Linked DNA regions of Oryzias latipes. The protein of the gene in region 3 interacts with the protein of the main gene of each other region in a pairwise test. Links are inferred from orthologs where the notes say so. Each region holds a gene or a part of one and is shown on either strand. Other genes may lie near its edges.

Evidence for each region.
Region 1: the proteins of blmh (region 3) and nudt12 interact in binary tests that used the Homo sapiens proteins (3 or more experiments, as listed by UniProt). The two-hybrid records come from large-scale screens. The link is inferred for Oryzias latipes from reciprocal best matches to the Homo sapiens genes BLMH and NUDT12.
Region 2: the proteins of blmh (region 3) and wdyhv1 interact in binary tests that used the Homo sapiens proteins (3 or more experiments, as listed by UniProt). The two-hybrid records come from large-scale screens. The link is inferred for Oryzias latipes from reciprocal best matches to the Homo sapiens genes BLMH and NTAQ1.

The regions. Positions count from the first base shown.
Region 1 is NC_019867.2:29,177,587-29,185,351, forward strand, and holds the end of nudt12 (peroxisomal NADH pyrophosphatase NUDT12), read right to left. Parts: intron 5,780-7,765; 5' UTR 5,775-5,779; coding exon 5,569-5,774; intron 5,407-5,568; coding exon 5,112-5,406; intron 3,802-5,111; coding exon 3,528-3,801; intron 3,445-3,527; coding exon 3,277-3,444; intron 3,160-3,276; coding exon 3,046-3,159; intron 2,823-3,045; coding exon 2,623-2,822; intron 2,452-2,622; coding exon 2,341-2,451; 3' UTR 2,077-2,340; downstream 1-2,076. UniProt on the Homo sapiens protein: mRNA decapping enzyme that specifically removes the nicotinamide adenine dinucleotide (NAD) cap from a subset of mRNAs by hydrolyzing the diphosphate linkage to produce nicotinamide mononucleotide (NMN) and 5' monophosphate mRNA.
Region 2 is NC_019869.2:4,809,630-4,817,628, reverse strand, and holds wdyhv1 (protein N-terminal glutamine amidohydrolase), read left to right. Parts: upstream 1-2,715; 5' UTR 2,716-2,762; coding exon 2,763-2,836; intron 2,837-3,133; coding exon 3,134-3,233; intron 3,234-5,667; coding exon 5,668-5,718; intron 5,719-5,800; coding exon 5,801-5,949; intron 5,950-6,019; coding exon 6,020-6,144; intron 6,145-6,239; coding exon 6,240-6,379; 3' UTR 6,380-6,687; downstream 6,688-7,999. UniProt on the Homo sapiens protein: Mediates the side-chain deamidation of N-terminal glutamine residues to glutamate, an important step in N-end rule pathway of protein degradation.
Region 3 is NC_019871.2:27,593,628-27,600,894, forward strand, and holds part of blmh (bleomycin hydrolase), read right to left. Parts: intron 2,637-7,267; coding exon 2,481-2,636; intron 2,384-2,480; coding exon 2,225-2,383; intron 2,140-2,224; coding exon 2,072-2,139; intron 354-2,071; coding exon 236-353; intron 22-235; coding exon 1-21. UniProt on the Homo sapiens protein: The normal physiological role of BLM hydrolase is unknown, but it catalyzes the inactivation of the antitumor drug BLM (a glycopeptide) by hydrolyzing the carboxamide bond of its B-aminoalaninamide moiety thus protecting normal and malignant cells from BLM toxicity.

The DNA.
Region 1 (7,765 bases), on a different chromosome or scaffold from region 3:
GAGGTTAGAGGTCATTTTGGATATGACTCCCACTGTTGTACAGCAGGCGACTGGCATTTCATTGCATTCTGTTTCCATGGAATCAAATCCCATTTAGAGTTGTACAGGCTACACTGTGTTTTACCTAGGTTAACATTTTTCAAGCACAATGAGAAGAGATTTACGAGGAAAACATTCACATGAGTTTAACCCGTGCTATCTTAGATGACCCCCCCCTTACATTGACGTGTTCTCCCTACCATGACAAAGGTGGATAAAGGTGGAAAGATTTCATGTAATCCATGGACACCAGTGAAGATCACAAATCATTGAAGAAAAAAGGTTCAGAGCTCTGTCTAGTGGGTCTAGATGACCCAACTCCCAATGTTAAAGTGCCTAGGATAGCACAAGGGTTAAAAGTGAACTCTAATGTCTGAGAGTAAATGCGAGCAGAGATCCAGAGACAGGAGTAGGGATTTGGCGAGACATTTACAAGTTACAGCATTTAAAGACCCACTCCGAGGAAAAGGATGTTTTTGACATGTTCTGCTTTTTTCTGATGAAGGACAAACATAAAGAAACTTAAGCCTAAAAATGGATTTTTTGAGTATTTCTTTATTCAGATTGTTGAGACATAAAAGTGTTGGTTGAAAAAGAGCTTATTTGGATGGATGGGTCACAAGCTCCGTGCTCCGCTCCATTCTGATGCATTCACTGTCAGACAAATAGATCCGTGTACGTCTTTGTTTTCCTCGTCTGACCTGGAATCTCCATCTAAACTTGGTTTCAGAGGCTATAAGCTAGCGCGAGAGCGTGTAAACAGATGGATGACGGAAAGTGTGGGCAGGCTTACTCCCTGCTGATAGTCCCGCTAACAACTCAGAGGCAAATGACTCCTGAACTACTGCTGTCCTAAAAAAAGACACAGGTTGTTGTTTTTTTGGCTAAAAACGTCATTATTGTTATTACAGGTCACTTTTATTTTAGCAGGATGTCCCTTAAGATGAAATCTCTTTTTTTTTAAGGGACCTGGCCAAGAGACATTGGCACACACAAAAAACAAGCATAAAAAAAGAAAATAAAAGAACTGTAAAAGGATCTTCTGTACAACATGTGCACTCTTCTGTCCCACACTCAGAGATGCTTTGTTGTATCCCTTGTGCTATCTTAGATGACCCCACCCTTCCATTGACGTGTTCTTCCTACCATGACAAAGGTGGATAAAGGTGGAAAGATTTCATGTAATCCATAGACACCAGTGAAGATCACAAATCATTGAAGAAAAAAGGTTCAGAGCACTGTCTAGTGGGTCTAGATGACCCAACTCCCAATGTTAAAGTGCCTAGGATAGCACAAGGGTGCCACATAAAATGATAATTTTCTGTTGGGATAATAGACAGTAACTGCATTCCATTCCAAAGCCAACAGTATTAATGGTCCAGTATTTCATTTTCTTTATCATGTGAGCACACTATGGTTTGATTTTTATGTATTCATGTTTTGACTGTTTATGTTGTAAATGAGTGTTTTATGGAACTACAAATATGGCCAAGAGACTTCCTGCGGATGACTTCCTGTCTCTCAGGTGTGGCTTATTACAGCTAATTACAGCAGGAGGAGGGAATGGAAGTCAAGAGGAGGAAGAAGGAGAAAAAAACTGGATGGGTTTGACGTTTGACTGCCGCTTGATGGATGGATTAGCAAAGGATGGTTCTAAACAAAAGCTGAGGAAAAACCCGGAACTGTCTGTCACCATTCCAAAGGTCCTCCTTTATCAGAAAGTCACACGATTTCCGACACAGCTGATCCGGTAAGAAGCCGTTTTCCATCGGAACGCGGACGCAGCGTCACAAGCCCCACCATCTTTGAGACAAAAGAGCCAGAGAAACTTTAAAGTATTGTGTAAATAATTCAAAGACTGGGTTTATTTGGGTGGTGGTTTCAACTAAGGATGGATTTTTTGTATATATGTATATTTTTTTTAAAAATAACAACGTAACTGGGAAACATCATCGTGTTGTGTTGGAGTTGTTTTGTATGACTCGAGAAAAAGAAACAAACAAACGCATCCAGTTAGAAAAGAAAGGAGAACCCTGATTAATTTTTTGTAAATACTCTATTTTCATGCTGGTTGTTACAACACTTTGAAAATGGATCAACAGACTCACATGGTTTTGTTGGACATGCGTTTTTCCAACACATTTTATTCGCCTCAGAACATTTATTCAAATGGTTGTCTGCCAACTTTCAAAATAAGTGGAGAAATATTTATCACGAAAAGGTAAAACGTGTCTGAATCTTTGTGTTTGTTTGTTTTTTTTGTGTTTGTGGAGCACGTGCAGAGCTTTGCGTTTCTGAATGTTAGAGGTTGGAGTTGATGCCGATCCAGTGTCTGATCAGCTGATGGGCGATGGTCTGTCTGGGAGGGATGACTAAGGTCTGGTGAGCTCCTCTGAACATCGAGTCCACCACCTGAAGTGAAAGGCAAACTTTCAGCGGCCTCATACGTCTCAACATAAATGACTAACACAGGAACCAAAGGAGTTTGATCGTGAAGTCCCCGAACACGCAAACAAAAACGGACATTTTATGGAGGATTCATTTCAAATCAGAGCTCTGAAGCCTCACACAGATCGCACGTACCTGTTGTCGTGGAAACCATCGGGCATCCTCAATCTCATCCTCGTCCACTTTGATGTCAGTGGACGTGGCGATGGCATGGCAGCCAATCATGAGGCTGGAGGGCATCGGCCAGGGCTGGCAGGACACATACTGGACTGGACCAACCTTCACCCCGCTCTCCTCCTCCACCTCCCTCCTCACCGCCTCCTCGATGGTCTCCCCTGTGTGAGGAGGGGGGGAGGTTAGGATGTTTTTATCTATTCACATAAATATTATGTATTCATCAATCCTGGTTCTACATATCTACTCTCCTGTATATTTTTTGGGTCACAAACATTAAATCCATGTTCAGGACAGCAGCGCCACCTACTGTGCAAACTAAGCAGTGCACGTTCTGTAGCTCGTGTGTGAGTAGCGTGTGCGGGCGGACCCGTGTGCACGTACCAGGCTCTACGAATCCGGCCAAGCAGGAGAACATGCGTGCAGGGAAGATGCTCTTCCTACCCAGCAGGCACTGGTTTCCATCAGGGTGGATCACCAGCATGATGACAACCGGGTCTGAAAAGATCAAAGCAGAAACTGAAGCTTTGAACATGAAGCTATGATGAATGAAGCAACGAGTCTTGATGAACTGGTTCTTGTTAGAGTCCCGGTTCTGAGGATTGGTGCTCGTACCGACTCGTGGGTAGCAGGTATTGTGGACGCCCTTCAGGCTCCTGCACTCAGGGTTCAGGCAGCTCCTCTTGTGCCCCCCCTCCTGCAGGCTGGTGGGGCTCCCACAGGTGGGGCAGAAGCTGTAGCGGCTGTGCCAGGCCAGGACGGAGCGGGCCTGGGCCACCACGCCTCGGGACAGAACCGGAACACAATTTCAGTTAAAGGACAACTAGGCAGGACGGAACAGGTGACAGGACTGGAGTCTTCCTCACCGGCCTCTTCCTCATCGAGTCTCAGGAGGTCACGGTTTGGGGTCTTTGGGAAGAAGCAGCCGTTGTCTTCACAGCGTTTCAGTAACTCCGCCGCATCTTCATCGGCGTTGATGGCAAACCAAACCGGAGTATCTGGGGTACCTGGCTCCATCTGAGAGGAGGAGGAGGAAGAGTTCTTTGTCCTCTCAGCACCGAGGAAGATGAGTACAGTCGCAGGTTTCTGGAGAAGGTCCTTCACTGCGTTGTACCTGAACCGGCACAGTTTGAGGTCTGCCTGTCAGAGAAGATGTCTTTAGAGACTTGAAGATCATCAAGACACTGATGGGCTTTCCGTTCCCATGCTGGACATCAGACATTCAAGTCTTCAACCTAACGCCGCCGCCTCTGTTTTGTCGCCCGTCATAGTCATGATGTTTACCCAAACTGTGATCATAAGCTTTACGCTCCCGCCGCATGTGGGAGGAGCTGCTGTCAAAAGGCTTTTAGCCTCATCACTACATGAAAGACACGGATGACGATGAGACATCAGGTTCATTTTTTGTGAAGAGCTCTAAAAAGGCAGTGTGATACATCTCCACGTCTGGGTTCATGAGATCATCCAGAGACTCTTCCAGTATGCTGAGCTTCACCATCCAGCTAGAGGACCTTCTTATTATCGGCTCAGCGCGTAGGACTGGTGCATGAGAAATCAGGGTTTGATTCCCAGGGGGAACTTATCTGGACCCCAGCCCAGATAGATGACAGGTTTGTGTCAGGAAGGGCATCTCTGCCAAATCACCTGTGTGAATCCGTGAAAGCTGATTCGCTGTGGCGATCCCTAAAGGGGTGTGCCGAAAAGTAAACTACAAAAAATAAAGAAAAATGTCAAAGTTCAGGAGGAGAACGATTAGATCCGCCTCCCATGTTTGTTCTAGACTTCACCCGCTGGTTACATTCCCAACGAGTTACGGGTCAAAGCTGAGTTCCTGGATGATTGACACACAGTGGCGCCTAAAACCTTTCGCCGCTGGTGAATCGTGCCACCAGAAGTCCCACTTTGATCATCTTTTGATCAAAGTCTTCCCAGTTGTCTTTTCAAACATAGTTTCTGCAGACTGGAAGAGGTTAATTCGGTGCAGAGCAACCCCGTTCCCACTTCCCGTCACCCATCTGTTTACATGCTCACCTGCCAGCTTACACCTTCAACCTCACAGAAAATGGCGAGCAACATTGGATTCCAGCTCAGACGAGGAAGACAAAGACGTACACGGATCTGTTTGTGAATGCATCAGAATGGAGCGGAGGAGGGAGCTTGTGATTGGCCGATTGTAGTTTTTACGTCACAAATATGATCTTTTTCAACTCGAATTTTTTCATCTGCTCCTGATTCACAAGGATTTAAACAAAGAAAAAAGAAGAAATGAAATTTTAAGATGACTTTTCTTTATCTAGGTCCTTTATCATCAGAAAAATGTCTTGAAATTGTGCCGGATCATGTCTGTACATTCACTTAACATTGAAACTGTCCGGCCCCGCTGTGCAAATCCCGTTAGGTGTGAACATAACTTTACCCTACTGCATTCAGCCACAGGTAGAGGTATGTACCCCGTCTCCGCTGGTGTCCTTGGTCACGGTTGCCATGGGGCTGAGGTTGGAGAACAGGAGGTAGACTGTGTCCGGGTCTCTCTGTTTGGCTTCTAACCAACCCGCGTCGCTCCTCTTCCCACTAAGCCGGTCCAGCGTCTCCCTGCTGAAGTAGTTCTCCTGCGGGTGGAGCGTGCTGCCATGCAGGGTGCCGTCGTCCGCGCGGCTCAGGAGCCGGGCGATGTGTCCGTGACCCCAGAACTTAGCGATGTCGTAGGCGGTCTGAGACGAGCTGTTTGTGCAGAGCTTGTTGCAGCTTGAAGGACAGATTTACAGAAGGAAAGAGCTTCTATTCAGACACATGTAAACCGGGCCAGACTGCCTTTGCTGCCTTTAACCTTTACGCTTGTTAACTTAAACCAAACCATCATCTCTAGAAAGGTATAAGCGGAGAGTTTTCAGAGGAAGTGGCGTGTACCCGAGTGACAGCAGCTTCTCCGCCACATGATGGTGGCCGTTGCGTGTGGCTAGCATCAGCGCCGTCCAGCCGCTGTATCCAGTCTGGTTAAGGAGGGAGGGGCTGTGGGACAGCAGAGCTGACAGCTGGCTCAGGTCGCCTCTGGCGGCAGCATCCAGAAACTTCTCCACCATCTCCTCCTGCGCGCTCATCTGCAGGCTCGTCATCCGGCCTGAGGAGGGAAAAGGTATGAGAAGGTCCACACTATTTTAAATATTGTTAACCTCAAAATAATTGATTTTGCTTGGGCTTTTAGTTTCTTTCCCTTGTGCTATCTTAGATGACCCCCCCCTTACATTGACGTGTTCTCCCTACCATGACAAAGGTGGATAAAGGTGGAAAGATTTAATGTAATCCATGGACACCAGTGAAGATCACAAATCATTGAAGAAAAAAGGTTCAGTGCACTGTCTAGTGGGTCTAGATGACCCAACGTTAAAGTGCCTAGGAAAGCACAAGGGATAAGGGGTTGAAATATTCTGCTGTTTTATCCCAAATAATAACATAAAAGAAAAGCTTTAAATACCAACACACTGTGGTTTAAAAAAAAAAAAAAAACCTTCAGCGAACTGTCCTCTTCAAAGTCCCACCCCAATCTTTCTTGACCTACTGCAAGCATTCTTTCTATGTTGATGATGCCGTTTTTTGTCTAGATATAAAGAACTTGTGTCGTTTTCTAGGACAGTTTTCGTTTTCTACAGTTTCTGTAGAGCGGCTGGAGTTCATTAGAAATTCCCCTCTGATGTCGTCGCCACTTTGGGTTTAAGCAAACTCTCATCTACTCACCAATCCATTTTTCTCACCTGCCCTAAATGATTTTGGTTTTAAAACCAAAGGAATTGTGCTTTTTACTGATTTATTTGTTGATGGTTCATTCATGCCTTTGAAAACATCTGTAAAAAGTTTTATATTCCCAAGTCTCATTTTTTTCATATACCTAAAGGTCCGCAGCTTCGTAGGGAGACACTTCACCACCTATCCAACACAATCACTTCCTGGTTGCCTGCAACCTCAATTTGCCACCAAAGGTCAGATTTCGCAAATATATCATCAACTACATCTCATTGATCCTACGTCACTAAATCCGTTGAAAAACTCCTGGGAGCAAGAGTTGAATTTGGAGATTCCAGAGGAAATCTGGAACATAAGTATTACTCTCATCCATTCAACATCCATCTGCATTAGACACAGTTTGACACAATTCAAGGTTTTTCATCGCTCATACTTCACAAAGGCTAAGATGTAACCAGTCACCTGCCACGATGAGTCGCATGTTCTGCTCATGCACTGCCTTAGGAGAGGTCTGGGACTCTGCTTTTAAAACTTTTTCACATCTGTGTGGGAGGAAAATGGATCCCGATCCATTTACAACAGCTCTCCTGAACTAAGAGGGCCTAAGCTCACATCAATTGAATGCAATAGCTCTTCTATCTCTCCTGGCACGAAGACTGATCCCAGTGAAGTGGAAGGATAAACAGCCCCCCCCCTTCCTTTGTCCAGAAGCTATTATGTGTCTACAAAAGGTGTGGCTCAAAAGCCATGTATATGTACATACTTGTTTCTTTTTTTTCCTCTGAAACTGTACAGTTCTAAAGTTGCTTGTTATGCGTGTTTCTATAAAAATGTGAAAATCTTTAAATACAGCGTTAAAAAAAAAAAAAAAAATCACCTCTGATTGGAGGGCGGGACTGTTGGGGTGGAGTAGAGCTGCCACTACTTCCCATTATCAGTCTGTTTACACTCTCTCCCTCTAGCTTACAGCTCATCTCAATCCCAAACTATTAGCAGTAGGGGAGCGATCTCGTAGCTTTGCAGCCGTACAGTTTAGAGTCAAACATCAGCTCAGACAACGAAAACAAAGACGTTCACCGATCTGCAAGTGGATGCATCCGAATGCAGCAGAGCAGGGAGCTTGTGGGTTGCCGTAGTAACTTGTACTTCACAGCTACAAGCTTTTTCCAACGACATTTTTTTGTCTGCTCCTGATTCAAATCAATTTGAATAAAGAAATACTCAGAAATGAAATGTTGAGCTTCACTGTCTTAATATATTTTCTTCATCAACAGAAACATTCTACATGTTAAAAACATTTAAAAAAATCATTTTCATCTGTGTAAGTCTTTAAAGATCAAAAACCTTTATTTAACCACAGCAAAGT
Region 2 (7,999 bases), on a different chromosome or scaffold from region 3:
TCAAACTATTTGTTATTTAGATGACTTTATTAATACCACAATGGGAAAATTTCATTTATCTGTGGCAGCAAAAACAACATCCAGAAATAATCTATATAATATAACGTCAAAAAAGGACATCAGAAATGACATTCATATTAAATAAATATTTAACATTAAATAAATACAGCTGCAAAAGTGTAAAAAACGTGGTCTGCAAAACATGTAAACTGTAAAAAACATGTAAAAACTTTTTTTCATTTTTTTTTTCAAATACAGACATAAGTAATGAAGTTCACACCAAAAACAAACAACTGGATGGATGATCAACATAAACAACAAAAATAACAAATAAACATACTTTGTCATTGTGGAATGGCATTATGAAAGTTTGGTCAGTGCATCATTCATTCATAAAAATGCATTTACTCAATTACAATTATTGACAGCTAGTAAAAGGTGCATCAGTCGTTTTGAAACAAGTATTTACAATTATAGTGGTAAAATTGCAAAACAAGGGCAATTATAATAAATACACTTAAAAAATACATCTTATAAACATAATACAGTGAGTTTTTAAAAAGACTTAGTGCAGTTTCAGCAGCTGCAATAACATTTTTTATTAATGTTTAAAATATTTATTACAGTAAGATTAGAGCTGTTCTTGAGATGATTTTTATTTGTGCCTGTTATCTTTCAGTATTGTATATTGTACAAAAATCTAACATTTATATAAAGAAATATGCATTTTTCCTGACTTGTGCAGAACAGTTTATAAAAAATTTGTATTTAATTACTCCTTTGCGGATATAAGAAGGTTTTTAAAGCACGTTGGTGAAATCATTGATGGATGATCATTACTGCACTGGAAACTCCTATTCAGACATAATTTTAGCCCACACAACACTCCCATATGGATCTGTCTGTATATTTTATGTAGGAACAAATTAATATTTTACAAAAAGTCTCGTAAAAATTTGATGACTCAGTGCTTCCCTCTCAACAACTTAGCACTTCAATTACAAGACATGACAATGCCTTACCGTTTCAGATGTCCAGAAACGGTTTTAAGTATCACAACACTTCACAAGAGACATGCAAAGTCTGTACCAAGAAAATTTCCTTGCCTTACTGGAGAAGGTTAAGAAAGACCTGAAGAACTGGGAAGTTCTCAACCAGTCTCTTGCAGGGAAAGTAAATAGTATAATAATGAATATACTTCCCAGATTCCTTTACCTGTTTCAGTGCGTCCCCTCTACATCCCTAAATCTTTTTTTAAATCTGTCGACAAAAGCTTTTCTTCATTCATCTGGAGCGGTAAGACCCCAAGACTCTGTTTAAAATTATCACAAAGACCTAAGCATCAAGGTGGCTTAGGCCTACCAAACCTGTGCCAATACTACTGGGCCTCTAATGTTCAAAAAACGATAGATTGGCTCCAAGCTTATGACATCAACTGGTATCGATTTGAAGCCTCCTCCTATAATACAAAAACTCTGACAGCCCTAATTGGATCTAGTCTCCCCTGTGTCATTTCACACTATATTACACACAATCCAGTAGTTACCAATACCTTTAAAATTATGTTTCAATTCAGACAGACGTATGGACTCACTCAAGTGCTTACCACTAGTCCTATACACAAAAATCACCTTTTTCTCCCTGGTCAGACAGACTTCGTATTCATGATTTGGGAAGTGATTAAGGTACAGTATAATCAACTTTAAGGACATGTACCTAAGCGGTATATTTGCAAGCTTCAATGATCTTGCTTCCAAATTTTGTCTGCCTCACTCTCACTTTTTTTAGTACCTTCCAGTGTGTCGCTTCCTTCAGCAGCATGACCCTAACTTCCCTAACATACTGTGTTAGATGAGGTGTTTGAGTTGCCACTCAATTCAAAAAGATTCATTTCCAAAATCAAAGACTGCAAAATTCCTGCTTCCATCTTTGTTGTTTGATTGTCGACTGGTTAATTCAAAACTTCCAAACTTATGTAATACGTTCTTTGTTTGTTGGAGAACTGTTTCCAACATTCTACAAAACTCATTCTATGTCCCAGCATTACACAAAAAAGTTTTTTAAAAACCCAATTTTTCCAAAATACAAAGAAACCCATTTTAAACAATGAATGCAGTATACCCATGCAAGGAACTGCTACATTTACGTTTTGGTTTTCAAGAAAATAACTGTTAATAAATATAAAATCACTTGATCATCTGTTTTTTGAATGTACATATGTTACCAGTTTTTGGGAGTATTGTGTTTGTTGGTGCTCCTCAAAGTTTCCTTTTCCTATTTCTATTCCGTTACAGTTGTGAGTACTTTCTGGTGATAATTTATTTGATTTGGCATTTGATACTTTATTAAATTCTGGGAAATTCTTCATCAATGAGAGCAGATTTTTTTAAAATCAAATCATTATTCAATACATTTCATAAAGAGATCTGTTTACATTTTAAATCCTTGGAATTCAAGAAAAACAGAAATGCAATAAAACTGTCAATTTTCATTGAAGATCACATGTTGTATGACCATACCTAGTGTGAGCTACAATTCTAATGTTATTTATTTATTTTTTCTTTGTATTGTATTCTTTTTTCTTTTTATATCTTTCTATTGTAGTTATGTGAATGTGTACGTGTCATCCTTTGAAGTTCAATAAGAATAAAATAAAATAAAAAGTTGGTGAAATCAACGCTACAGGAATGGGCTTTTAGTTTGAAAGGACGGATGTGACGTACTGTATTTTCGGTGAGGTTCTTTCCGGTTAGCTTACAGACATGAAGGGTCAGTTAAAGAAAGGTGTGGAAGTAATACCAAGCCGGGAAAACTGCGTTTATACCAGCTGTTATTGGTAAAAACCAAGTTTTAACAAATCAGAAAAGCAGCCCACTGTCCTGCAGTCTTTAGTTTTGTGTCAATAAATCATTTATTGTCAAGAAAAACATCAAAATGCTAAGCGGATCCGCTCGGCTAATCGATATTCACAGTTTACATTGTTAAATGTTATACCCATTTTTAAAACTGTTATAGTGAATGAGTTATTTCAATGCCATCTGTCTAATTAATGATTGAATGAATTTTCAGGGAAATATAGTTCATTTTAATCAAGTGAATGAGTGGCTAATGCTGCTTTCCTTTACTTTCTCAGTGAGGAAAATGTTTGGAAGCTCTGTGAGTTTATTCAAGCACAGAAAATGGTTCCACTGGACCAGTTTGCTGTAATTTTCATCTCTAACGACACCAGAACGGTAAGAAGATCTGGAAACATTTTAAACGGCTTAACAAGACAATCGAATAAACAAAATGTTTGCTTTAAAAATAATATTTCAAAAAGTACCTCATACTGAGAATGATGGGCACCGAGCCCTCAAGGGTTCAGGTGGTCTCAAGAAATATTTGAAAGTAAATAACAGGCCTTCTCTGTAAAAAGAAAAATCCTTTTTGCAAAACATCTGGTAGTTTCAAAATACAGCTACAGTGATCCCTCGCTATAACACGGTTTACTTTTCACGGTTTCGCTACTTCACGGATTTGCATCGTGCATTGTGTTCTGCATTCTGATTGGCTAAAAAGTCACTTCACTTCTCTACCTGTGCGTCAATAACATTGCAGTTTAATATGTACACGTACGTAAATCAGCGTGCCAAATTTACAACAGATACGTGCAAATCATCTTGCAATTTCGAGTTTCTCTATAACCCATGAAAAAAAGGAGCGACAACAACAACTGCCTATCACTATGTTCTTCTCCCGAACAAACACAGCTGCACCGCGGGCTTCAAAGGGAGACTGCAGAGCGGAGTCAGGATGCAGCGGCTCAAGAGCAGTGAATTACACCTGAGTCACTATTTGTCTGACCGTACTTTGTATTTTTTTAAAAATCATTTTAAATATCTTCCCGTTTAATCCAAATACTCGGGTCGCGGTGGGCGGGGCTAATCTCCGCGATTTGAAGCCTTCTGTTCACATTGATGATTAAAATTCTTATTTGACAGTACAATACAGAAGATATTTGTTGAAAAACCTTTTCTAAAGTACTTTTATTTGTGAAACAATTCCTTAGCCTGTAAAACGGTTTGTTCTTTCTTTTCAATGTATAATAGAGAATTTAATTGTATAATAATTGTTAAAAAAAAAGGTTTCTACTTCACGGATTTTGCCTATCACGGGTTCTTTTTGGAACGTAACCCCCGCGAAAAACAAGGGTTTACTGTACTCCATTAATTGTGTCCAAATTGGAGGGCTGTGTTCTTCCTGGGCTGCATCTGAAGGCTGCTTACGTAACATGTTGTCCAAATTCAACAAGTCCTTTAAATATGGCCACCGAATACAGCCTTCTTTTTACCCGATTTCAAGGATTGCTCTGGTGTACCCTTCTATGCTGTCCATATCCCAAGATGCATAGCAGTAGAACCCGGATATTTTCTGACAACAATGGCTCCATGCCTGGTTCACTCCTCCTCCCTGTTCGGGACTCACGGTTGCTAGGCAACAGGACATTCACTGATGTAATGGCTGGAATTATCTAAAGGCTAGACTCGTCCAAATTCACAGCCATTAACATCTGACCTACCCGCTCAACAAAGGACCCGAGTAACATCGCCAGGGAAGACTGCGGCCATTGAAGGACGCAGACTTCGAATTTGGGAGCACCCAATATATAACGCTCAAATGTTGTGAAAGCGTCTCACTAAAACGGTCAATCAAACCAAACAAAGAAGTTCATCAAACAAATAGGCAATCCCTAAAACTGGCCACTACACACAGTACATTACAAAAACCAAAGAAATCCCGGACAAGCCCCCAATTTATGTTACACCCCATTTTAGGAAAAAGAAATACTATTTAATAAAAAAACAACCAAATTACTGTATATTTGCAGTATAAAGCACACTTAAAACCCTTAATTTTTTTATTTAAAAAGCAACAGTTTGTCTTAAAATCATGATCACCCTATCTATTAATTAGTTATGCTGCAAACAAGGTTGGGTGTTATTGTGAATACCCTCACGCGGCTAATGTGTGGCGATGTTGGACTGTTTTTTTGGTTACCAAAAAGGTTGTGTGATAGCGTAGTCACGGTAACGTTTGTTTTAGCGCTATCAGTCTGTTTTGTCCACGTGCTGCAAGCAAAGTAACGTGACTGACTGACGGACATTTCTCTGACTCTTTAATCTCACTTAATCTGCCTTGTAGTTCGGTGTGCTCTATATGTGACATATGCTCAAAATAGACCATTCATTGATGTTGTGCTTGATAATCCGGTGAGCCCTGTAGTGTGGAAAATACTGTACAAAGAACAAAGCCTGTATGTATGTTCTGCCCTGGAGATCCTTGCCCAGTCTGGTGCTCTGGACAATTAGGCACAAATGTGCAATCAAAGCTGGCAGAGGAGAAGGAAGACAGAAAACCTCCCACTCCAGCAGAAAATATAAAAGAAAATAGAGAGAGAAAACCCAAATGTACAAAAAAGCCATCACACTGTCATTTATCCATAAATTTTCTAAATCTGCTTAATCTGTTTTGAGGTCGAAGTGGTTGCTGGAGCCTATCCCAACTACTGTTGGGTGAAGGTGTGGGTACAGTTCCTCTGTGTGTCGCAGGGCAGGGCTCTTTTTTTTGGAAAGTAAATCTCTTTCTTCCTTTATCTGAAACTCAAGTTCATTATCTTTTCTCCGTTAGGTTCCTCTTTGGAGACAAAAGTCCGGACATGACGACCGGCCGGTGATCTGGGTGTGTCAGACCCCTCCATCTTTGAAAGTTGCTGTGGGAATCTCCAAATGACCATGAATGGTTTTGTCGTTCTGTGTTGCAGGACTACCACGTGATCCTGCTGAAGGTGGGTGTGAAGTCAGACAGTGTGATCTATGATCTGGACTCGGTGCTGCCGTTTCCCTGCAGCCTGCGGCTCTACGCAGCTCAGGCCCTCCGGTCGGACCGCAACCTCAGACCTGAGTATCACAGGTAATAAACGCAAAGCAGACTACTGGTGACGCACCCATAAAACACCATAGTAACCCGGATTTTATGCCAGGAAGTTGCGAGTGGTTCCTGCGAACAGCTTCTTGTTGAACTTTGCGTCCGATCGATCTCACATGAGGAATTCTGATGGAACCTGGAAGATGCCTCCCCCATCATACCCCCCCATTTTTACGGCTGGTAAAGATAATGTCCCCCTGTATTAGCAGGCCTAATATAGCACGTCTTATGAATGGTTAATGATACCATTAATCTGCGGTGTATTTTCTCCTCAGAGAGTAAGATGAACCTGGACGACTTCATTAGTATGAACCCCGCCGTCGGCTGGGGAACCGTTTACACTCTGGATCACTTTCTGCTGAAGTTTGTAGAAGCTGCCTCTACGTCTGCTTCATCATCAACTACAGCGTTGTAGCAGCTGCTGGTTGTAGCTTCAGGTCTTGAGGTTGGAGAAGGATTTTCCTGCTAAAGACCTGGTGGAGCCAGCTGCAGGTGAAAGTGCCTCCTGACAGGGAAAGACTGTTGAGGACTTCCATTTGTTTGTGAAAATGTGGCCCAGTGAAATCCTTTTCCATCATAAGAAAAGTATAAATGTAAATATTCTGTACAGATTAAGGGGTAAATGCATAGTTTTCTGGTAACTATGGAAGCAGATCTGTTTTTTCTAATTTTGTAAATTTTTATGTAAAAAGTTTACAAAAATAAACTTTTTGAGACAACTGAGCAGCTTGACTTCCACACTCTTAGAAGAATTAAAGACAACAAATGTTTGTAAAAATAATTAATATGAATGAAGTTTAGCCTCAAATACAAAAGGAGTTTATACAAATATACTCCTTGAGTGCAATGATTCATAAACCCCTATTGAAACAGGAAAATCAGTCTAACACAAGAGGCCTTTTAGCTTTTATCTGCTGGATCAGCTGCTGCACAAGACAAGTTTTTAAAACATTGAAATTTCAACAGTTTTATCTCATCTTTACTTCATAAAGTAGATAAAATTATTTAATCTCAATTGTTTCAATTCAGAACAAAAACTAATCAGTGTCAGAGAAGCAAAAAACCTAAATATTTTGTCCAAAATTGATTTATTACTAATCTGAAATGATTGTTTTTTGTGAAAACAATAACATTTAGTATAAAATTGTCAGTCATCTTAGTTTATTGTGTATTAACAACACAATATAATCAGCACAAAGTGTAGATTTAAGGTTCCCACTTGCTTACGGTTAGGGTTACTGAGACCTTAAAAATGATTATTTCGTATTTTAGCCCTTTGTTGTTGGAGCAGGCAACAAATAAGGATTTATTTGTTCAAAATGTCCTTTTCAGATGAAGCAAAACTGTTAAAATAAACAAAACTTGAAGGCACTCTGGAATACTTTGCATCTGAAAAAGGGACACCTTTTGTCCCATCACATTTCTAAGATATATATATATGTATATATATACTGGTATATCTATTTTGCTTTTCCCTTTCCAAGAACTTCATGTAAGCAATTTAGGAAAAGATCTTTAGAAATCTTCACTGAGGCTTTCTGTTGACTGTAGGTAAGGGTAGAGAGAACACGTGTTTCTCTGCAACAGTTTGCAAAAAGTCTATAAAATAAGAAAAGCTTTCACGTTGGTTTCCAGAAACCTTGTTTGTCATCAGAGCTCTTCACAAAAACATCGCCGTAATCTACTTTTCTATACTTGCTCCATTATATTTAGCCTGGGGGGTGGGGGGTGGGGGGTGTCGGAGTATATTCCAGCTGTCCCAGAGTGACAGACATGGTGGTATGTTCGGGACAGCTGGTCAGTTTCTTCTTATTGTAATGTGAGACAAACAGGCATATTTACATTTGTCATTTAAAACCACCTTAATGTGTGAATTCTTTGGAAACTGGGGGAAAAAAATGGAAAATCAGGAGACCCTGGGGGGGGAACTACACTTATGTTCATGTGAGGTGAGTTTATTTTATGCACATGCATAAAAAATACATTATATCCGATCTAAAAATAAGTATGCTAAAATAAAACTCAGCACCTTGTT
Region 3 (7,267 bases):
TTCATAGCCTTCCTTCCCCTCCTGAAAGAGTGTGGACAAGAGGAAGGTTAGAGTGAAAAAGTGTTCGAACAGCTGCGTTTACTTACGAGAAAGGAAATGGACAGAATTATGAAAAACTTCAGTGGATTAGAGTGGTGTAAACAGACAGCAAATCTCTGGGAAGCTCTGAATGTGTGTGTTTGCGGTGAGTTTGTGCTTTTCGCAACACTTGAGGGCATAGTTGGTGTACGCATACCTTGTCTGTTACGGCAGTAAGGATCATGGCGTGAGTCATGAGGGAGTCTCCGTACATGAGTCTCTCTGCCTTCGACAGGTTCTTTACGGAAACTCCAAACACAAGTTCGTGGTTGAACCTGCGCACAGAAGCAACCGCTGAAGGTTAATTAGATGTTAAAGTTATTTCTCATGTCACCAGTGTATCAATGTCAAGACTGAAAAACCTCCAATGAAGAGTGATTATTCTAGAATGCTTTTGGGCAGGAAGATATGACCGTAACCCCAAACACTTTGCATTTTTCACTCTGTTTTTGTCTTATCATGAGCTAAAAGACAGATAGCTAATGTCTAAAGATGGAAACTAACCCTAATTACAGCTGCAACAGATCTGTCTGATGGATGAGCTCAGCAGACATGATACCAGACGTATGGCAGCACTAAGCTGAACTGGTTGAGTGAACAGATTTAAGCCTGGCGCCTGCAACTCAGACAGAGCTGCAGCAAACACCTGAAATTTATTGAAGAAAAAAAAGCAAACACCTGAAAGGCAGATGCCAGCTATGTTCTCCTCTGTGAAAATGGGTTGACACCTTATGAAGGTTGACTATTTTTATTAAGTTATAGCTGTCAGAAAGGAAGAAAAGTGAAGAGCCACATAATAGTGATATATAAGAAATATTTTCAAACCATGTTTGCTCTTTAAATTTCTTTTTTCTAAGTTGCAATTTACATAATTTAATCTTTTCTCGGCAGAGCTGTTGACAAAATAACACACGCTCCTTGAACTACTGTATAAATTTGGCCATTACCGCAATAAACGTGATTCCAACAGACTCAGAAAAAAGTGGCTTTACATCGATATGCAAAAGAGTTGCATACTCATGTAAAGGGTTGCATATCGGCGCAAAGTCACATTGCTTTGCTTTAGAAGCAGCTTATTTACGTTAAATCTGTCAGGACTTTACTACTGTAAAGTGTCGCATATCTGGCCAAAACTTCTGTTTAATCTAAGGGTGTATTCAGAATAAAAAAAATCATTTGTTCCGGATCGAGTCCTGAACCTTGCGTTTGGTCAATACAGACTGGCATCAAGCGACCCATTCTGTCACGGACCAAAGCTTGTAAACAAAACCACATGACTAAAGATCTCTTCCGACATTGGCCAGGAACTACGAGGGCGGGTCAAAACAACGGGCTGCACTTTACAATTCTTATCGGGACAGTTAACTTATTAAAACTTTACATTTCGATGACCAGTTTTGAATGTCTGGATCAACGCTTTTTACTTGTTACTTTGGTACGGTGGAGGCGTGGTGCAAGGAGGTCACTGGCAAGGAGACGTGCCGTGTGAGCTTTAATGTTAGCAGCTGCAGTGCTGAGGAGAAAATGGCTAAGAAGTTACACTGATAAGGGTTTATGACATGTAGATTGTCTAGAAAACAATGAAAGGCAATGTGTATCACGTTAAAAATTGCTGTAATCTGACCACATTTCAATGAATTGCTGTGTCTAATCGTTGTTTTACGTATTATTTTAGGAGAATTCTGTTAAGGAGCTACAAGGTAGCTTTTAGGATGATATCACGGCAGTGTGTGCCACGTAACGAGACACAGAAGCGCATGTAAGAAGCGTTTTTAGCTGTGTTAAAATAAACTTTCTAACAAGTGAACAGCTAGACCCTTTCTTCTGTTTGATAACACGACAATCGTTGTTTTAGATTTGTCCATGGACAAATCTGGAAAATTTGCTCCAGATTATTGAGAGAAACAAACTCTGGCTCACTTTAAGATAACCAAATGTGTCCACCCTGAATACACCCTAAATCACACAAGGGTTTTCCCTTATTGTTACTCACACATTCATGTCGTTAATGCCCAGTTTGCCATGGAAATGCTTCCCTACATCACAGCCAAACCACACGGCCTGGCATGAGAAGAACGAGAGCACAAAAGTCAAGTATAAAAAAAAGTTCAATTAGGTTGACAGTCATTTGGACCCTTCCACCTACCTCCCCAGCCTTAATAGAATCGGCTGCAGCTTTTTTAAGCAGCTGGATGGGCTGGTTGTTGTACAGAGTGTTGTGACCTCCAACCATGTTGCCCAAAAACTCAACAGTGTACAGCTTCCCGTACGGGTTTTGGGGTCGAGGGTCATTTACAAGGCAGACCTGAGGGTCATGGGATCAAAACATGGGCTCAGAAACAGAATTACAAGTGGCAGGTTAGGTAACTGAGGTGTGGTAGAGCAGTGTTTTGTGTGCATACTTTGTCCTGAAGGTTGTATAGGGGTTTGACATGTTCCCTGTAGAATTCCTGGGGGGTTAGAGGTCCCATGCGATGGAAGTTCTTATCCTTGTCTCGATACTCCCAGCTGATGGTGTCGGGAGGGCTGCCTAGACACACGCTGGCCACCCGGAACACCTGCGCAGACGGAAGCATTTTCATTTTACCGTCGATCTTAAAGCCGGTCAAAGTTGACGTACAACAACGGTGTTTTTTCAAGTAGACAATGACTTTTCAGCCCCAGAACACTGTCCTTGCTTTCATCAAGTACAGTTTTCCGATGTATATAGCAGAGGATATTCATTCATTCATTCATCTTCTTCCGTTTTGTCCCTTTCGGGGTCACGGGGCTGCCGGACCCTATCCCAGCTACTTGTGGGTAAAGGCAAGGGACATCCTGGACAGGTCGCCAGTCTGTCGCAGGGCCACATATCACACACCCATTCAGTCTAACATTCACACCTATGGACAATTTAGAGTTGCCACTTGACCTATGAAGCATGTTTTTTAACGGTGGGAGGAAGCCGGAGACCTCGGAGAACACGGGGAGAAAATGCAAACTCTACACAGAAAGGTCCCCCATTGATGTTCTGTTTCAAGTCCCCCAGCCAGAACTTGAACCGGGGGCCTCCTTGTTGTGAGGCAAGGGTGCTACCCACTGTGCCACGGTACATTCTATAAATAACCCAAGATAGGGGGAATCCGCAAAGTAGGATTGCATGTTTTAGGGCTGTCAAACTCCTCACTACACACAGTTCAACATTTTCAGACTTTTCTCTCTTTTTTAAACTCTCAAAGTTCAAACATTCACAGAAAAATAAGCAATACAAATAATTATAGAACAAAAAACAAGGATTTGATCGCGATCAAAGATTTATGTTACTCTGGCGAGGTGCATGTGCCACGTCTCTGTACAGGAGACAGCACAGTAAAGATAGATGGACATAAACAGCCATTCAGGATGTATAACATAGTGTGCTACTGAAAAGTTACGCGGAAAAAATCCACGAAACAGTGAGAACGTGAAAGATGAACTGCAATATGGAGAGGGAACACTATAACAGGTTACGCAACTCAGTTACACTTAATTTATCAACCTTTTGTAACAAATTGTAGTCTTAAAAGTAAAAAACAAAATCAGCGCTGAGTACAGTCAGAAAGAACACAAACTTGCTGTCTACTTGTGAACCAGCTTTTATGTGTGCTGGGTAAAACATTTATAGGACACAAAATAAACAATAACCTCAAAAATAGTAATCTGGGTTAATTCATCAATGAAGTTAAAAAGTTTAATTTTTGCTTTTAAGTATCCATCAATGCTTAAAGGAGTGCAGGATAAAAGAAGAATTCCAATAGTGTCACCAATAGATCCAATAGTGGTAGTTTTATTTTATAATAACACTTTTTTTTTACTTGAGTACAATTTTTGGCAGCACTGTACCTGCCATGACACTTTTCGAGCCAAGACCTCGGTATAACCTCCCCTACAGCTTCCTTTTTTCCATCCTTGCTTCCCTCACCACGTGCTTCTTCCTCCCGTGCAGGAGTTCAGACAGAGGTCCTATGGGCTAAACCGGGTTGTTTGGACTGGACCGTCTGTCTATCTGGCCCTTCCAACCTCTGATACAGTTATCTCTGGTATTTCCCTTTTTTTTCACTTCTCCTTTTGGTTTCCTCTCCCAGCACTTAGCGCATGCTTTTCCTATCGAATAGAATTAAGCGAAGACTGAGGGATTAATATGAACAGCAGAGCAGTGGTTGTGATCGATGACAGACTAGTAAATGCACTGAGAAAGACGGATTTGACAAAAAGCAGAGTCCCAGTAGGTCAACAGCCCAGTGTATCCTACTCTGAAAAAAATGTAATTGTGAAGCCAAATGAAAACACATCACACTCCCACTGCCTTTAACTTTTATCTTGCTACATGTTATAAACTGACAAACAAATGCACATCTATAAAGACAAAAAAGACCAGTAAATATACAAATTCACTCCTTCAATAGTTTTCTGAGCCGACTTCTTTTCAGTTTAGCCACTTTGTTTACGTTGACTTGTGAGCAAAATGCGAGCCGAGACGTTTGTCAACTTATGTTACTCAAAACGCGCCCTGATGCTTTTTTTTTCTTGCAGATGCCCTGATGAATACAGCTCTGTAAGAGTCAGCCATTCGTTGGTCCAACCGTAGGACCACTCATCACATCCCGCTGAGCAAAAGCAGGGGGCAGGACCGAAAAAGCCGAGCAGACAGATCGACACGTGAGAAAATAAACAGTTGCGGCGACACCCGAGTAGGATCAATATTAGAACACCTGCCGCCGTAGATTAATAGGAGTTGAAAGTTTAAAACACAACAAAAAGCTAACAACAAAAACTAAACATAAAAGTTCACAAAGTAATTCACAGGTTTATGCAGTTCACTCGAATTATAAAACAAAGACAAAAAGTACATTTGAATGCTTTAACTATTTAAACATGTACTTATTGTTAATCTTTCATCTTTGGATTCACAAATGCATGACACTTGCTTGAACTTAAATTGATACTGTAACACCACCTCCTCTTAAAATTTATACATATTTCTTTGGTTTTCTGACAAAGCGATTTCAGGAGCCATTTCAAAGTGATACTTTCACAATCAAATAACCTTTCAGCATTTTTACAGCAATGTCTGTTAAAGGAGATTAATACATTTCATACTTATTAATACAGATTTTATTTTGTTCAGATTTAGCGTTGCTTTATTGAGGTTCATTACAACCTTGGTTGAATGTGCACTTTAAGGACTGTTGCAGCAGTTAGTAAGGATGATGTTCACTGCGTTGTCAAGAATAAGTAGAAGTTGCAGATTAAGAAACAGTTTTAATCCACATCTTATTTCCTTAAAGTACTGAATCATAAAGCAGTGGATGCAGTTTATTTTTCCCAAAAAATGCAAGTGTGGATGTTTTGTTTGTTTATGCTACGTAAAGGAGGATAGTGTCTTTAACCAAACAAGATGAAACTACAGAGTGTTAACCAGCACGGTATTTCTTTGTTCAGGGAGTCTGAAGCCAGGAGTCTGCTGAAAAAATAACATCTGCAAGTCTACATCAGGGCTGCCCAATCCTGGTCCTCGAGACCTACCATCCTGCCTGTTTTCCAACTCTCTCTGTCCTTCTTGCTGCTGATTACCTGGATAAGCCGTGCTCCGTCAATCAGAATGAGGAGACAACTGAGTCAGCTAAGAAGACAAAGCATGTCACATAAGATGAACTATGTTCATCAAATGCATATTCTTTGACATTAGTCTGTCTTTCTTAGAAAGAATGTAGTCTTCAACTGTAAGTATGTTTTACTTTAAATAAACATGAAGAAATGACTGCACTTGTGCTCTGAAGTCAACGGCAAAGACAAATATATCTAAAGCTATAACTATTTTTTGCTTTAAATGTTGTGCCTTGAAACTTCTGAATAGTAAAAAACTCTTTCCAAAACCTTGACATAAAAGAGACGGGGGATCATTTGTTGTGAAGTTGAGCACAAAACTAAATATTGTGGTGAGCATTCAGAGGTCAAATGCATTTCTGACACAGCTGAACGCCACACTGAGATAAAACATGCCCTTCGCTACAACTCTGAAATCAATGCATAGCTTTTGTCTAGAAGCTGGAATTGAGAGCGTAAGCAAATGACACCATGCAAACAATTTGGATAAAATTGAGTGAGGTTTTGATGAAACGTCCATGTTTTGTAAATAATCCACACATGTGGTCATTGTTAAATCCCAACAGTCAGTGCAGAAATTGACAAAACGTGAGCAGACGGGCTGTTCCTGCACACATGTAGAAAACCCACCCACATCGAGCAGCAAATGAGAAGGGCTGACAGCTCCAAAAGTTCTGAGCGGCATCAGGAGGGCTGCTCTGTGAGCTGATGGCCGTGTCATAAATAAAGATCGTCTTCTACTTGATCTATGCATTTGGGGGCCAAGTTCAGAGGCGCACATGAGGTTCCAGATTCCATGACGCAAAGGCGCACGGAAAGACTACAGTCATGGCGTGTGGGGTAACATCTGTGTATTTTTCATATGTGATGCGCTGCATATATGTCCAGTCTCCAGTGATTGTATTTTCTTTTTTCTCATTTCAGTGTGCTGACGACTTGTCCATGCAAATGATCGAACAGGGGCCCTTATACATGCTTGACACAACATGAAAGAGAAAGACAGACTTTGAAATGTAAACCATTGTCCATAGTACGGACTGTCAGCTCAGAAACACACAAGACCCCACGAACGCTCCCGTTCTTACAGCAGGTGCTGGTCAAAGTGGATAAGAGTGTTTCTTTTGGCCAATGTTCCTAAATTAAAGATTTCTCTCAACAAACCTGCCTGACTGGGGCTAGCAAAACGAATAGCTTCTTGACACGCAAATCTATCCATTCTAGCCAAGCACAGCACAGCACGGGTCCATTAAATAGAAGCAGAGACGATGACCTGTCAGGCGAGCGTGTTTATGGTTGGTCTGACAGAGAGCAGGGCACAAACCCGATTGCCACACAGGCAGTTAGACATCATCCGCTCTATGCAAACTAAAGTAAAACTGACACGACACTTTGATCCTGCCTAACACATATGTGATCATGCAGAGGAAACTCAACACAGACACTTGTGTGAGGCCGACCAGTTGAACAGAAGTGATTATACAAAAGCGCAGGATGGCCAGACATTTAGTCATGAGGGTATACACCAGGGGTGGGCAAACTACGGCCCGCGGGCTGGATCCGGCCC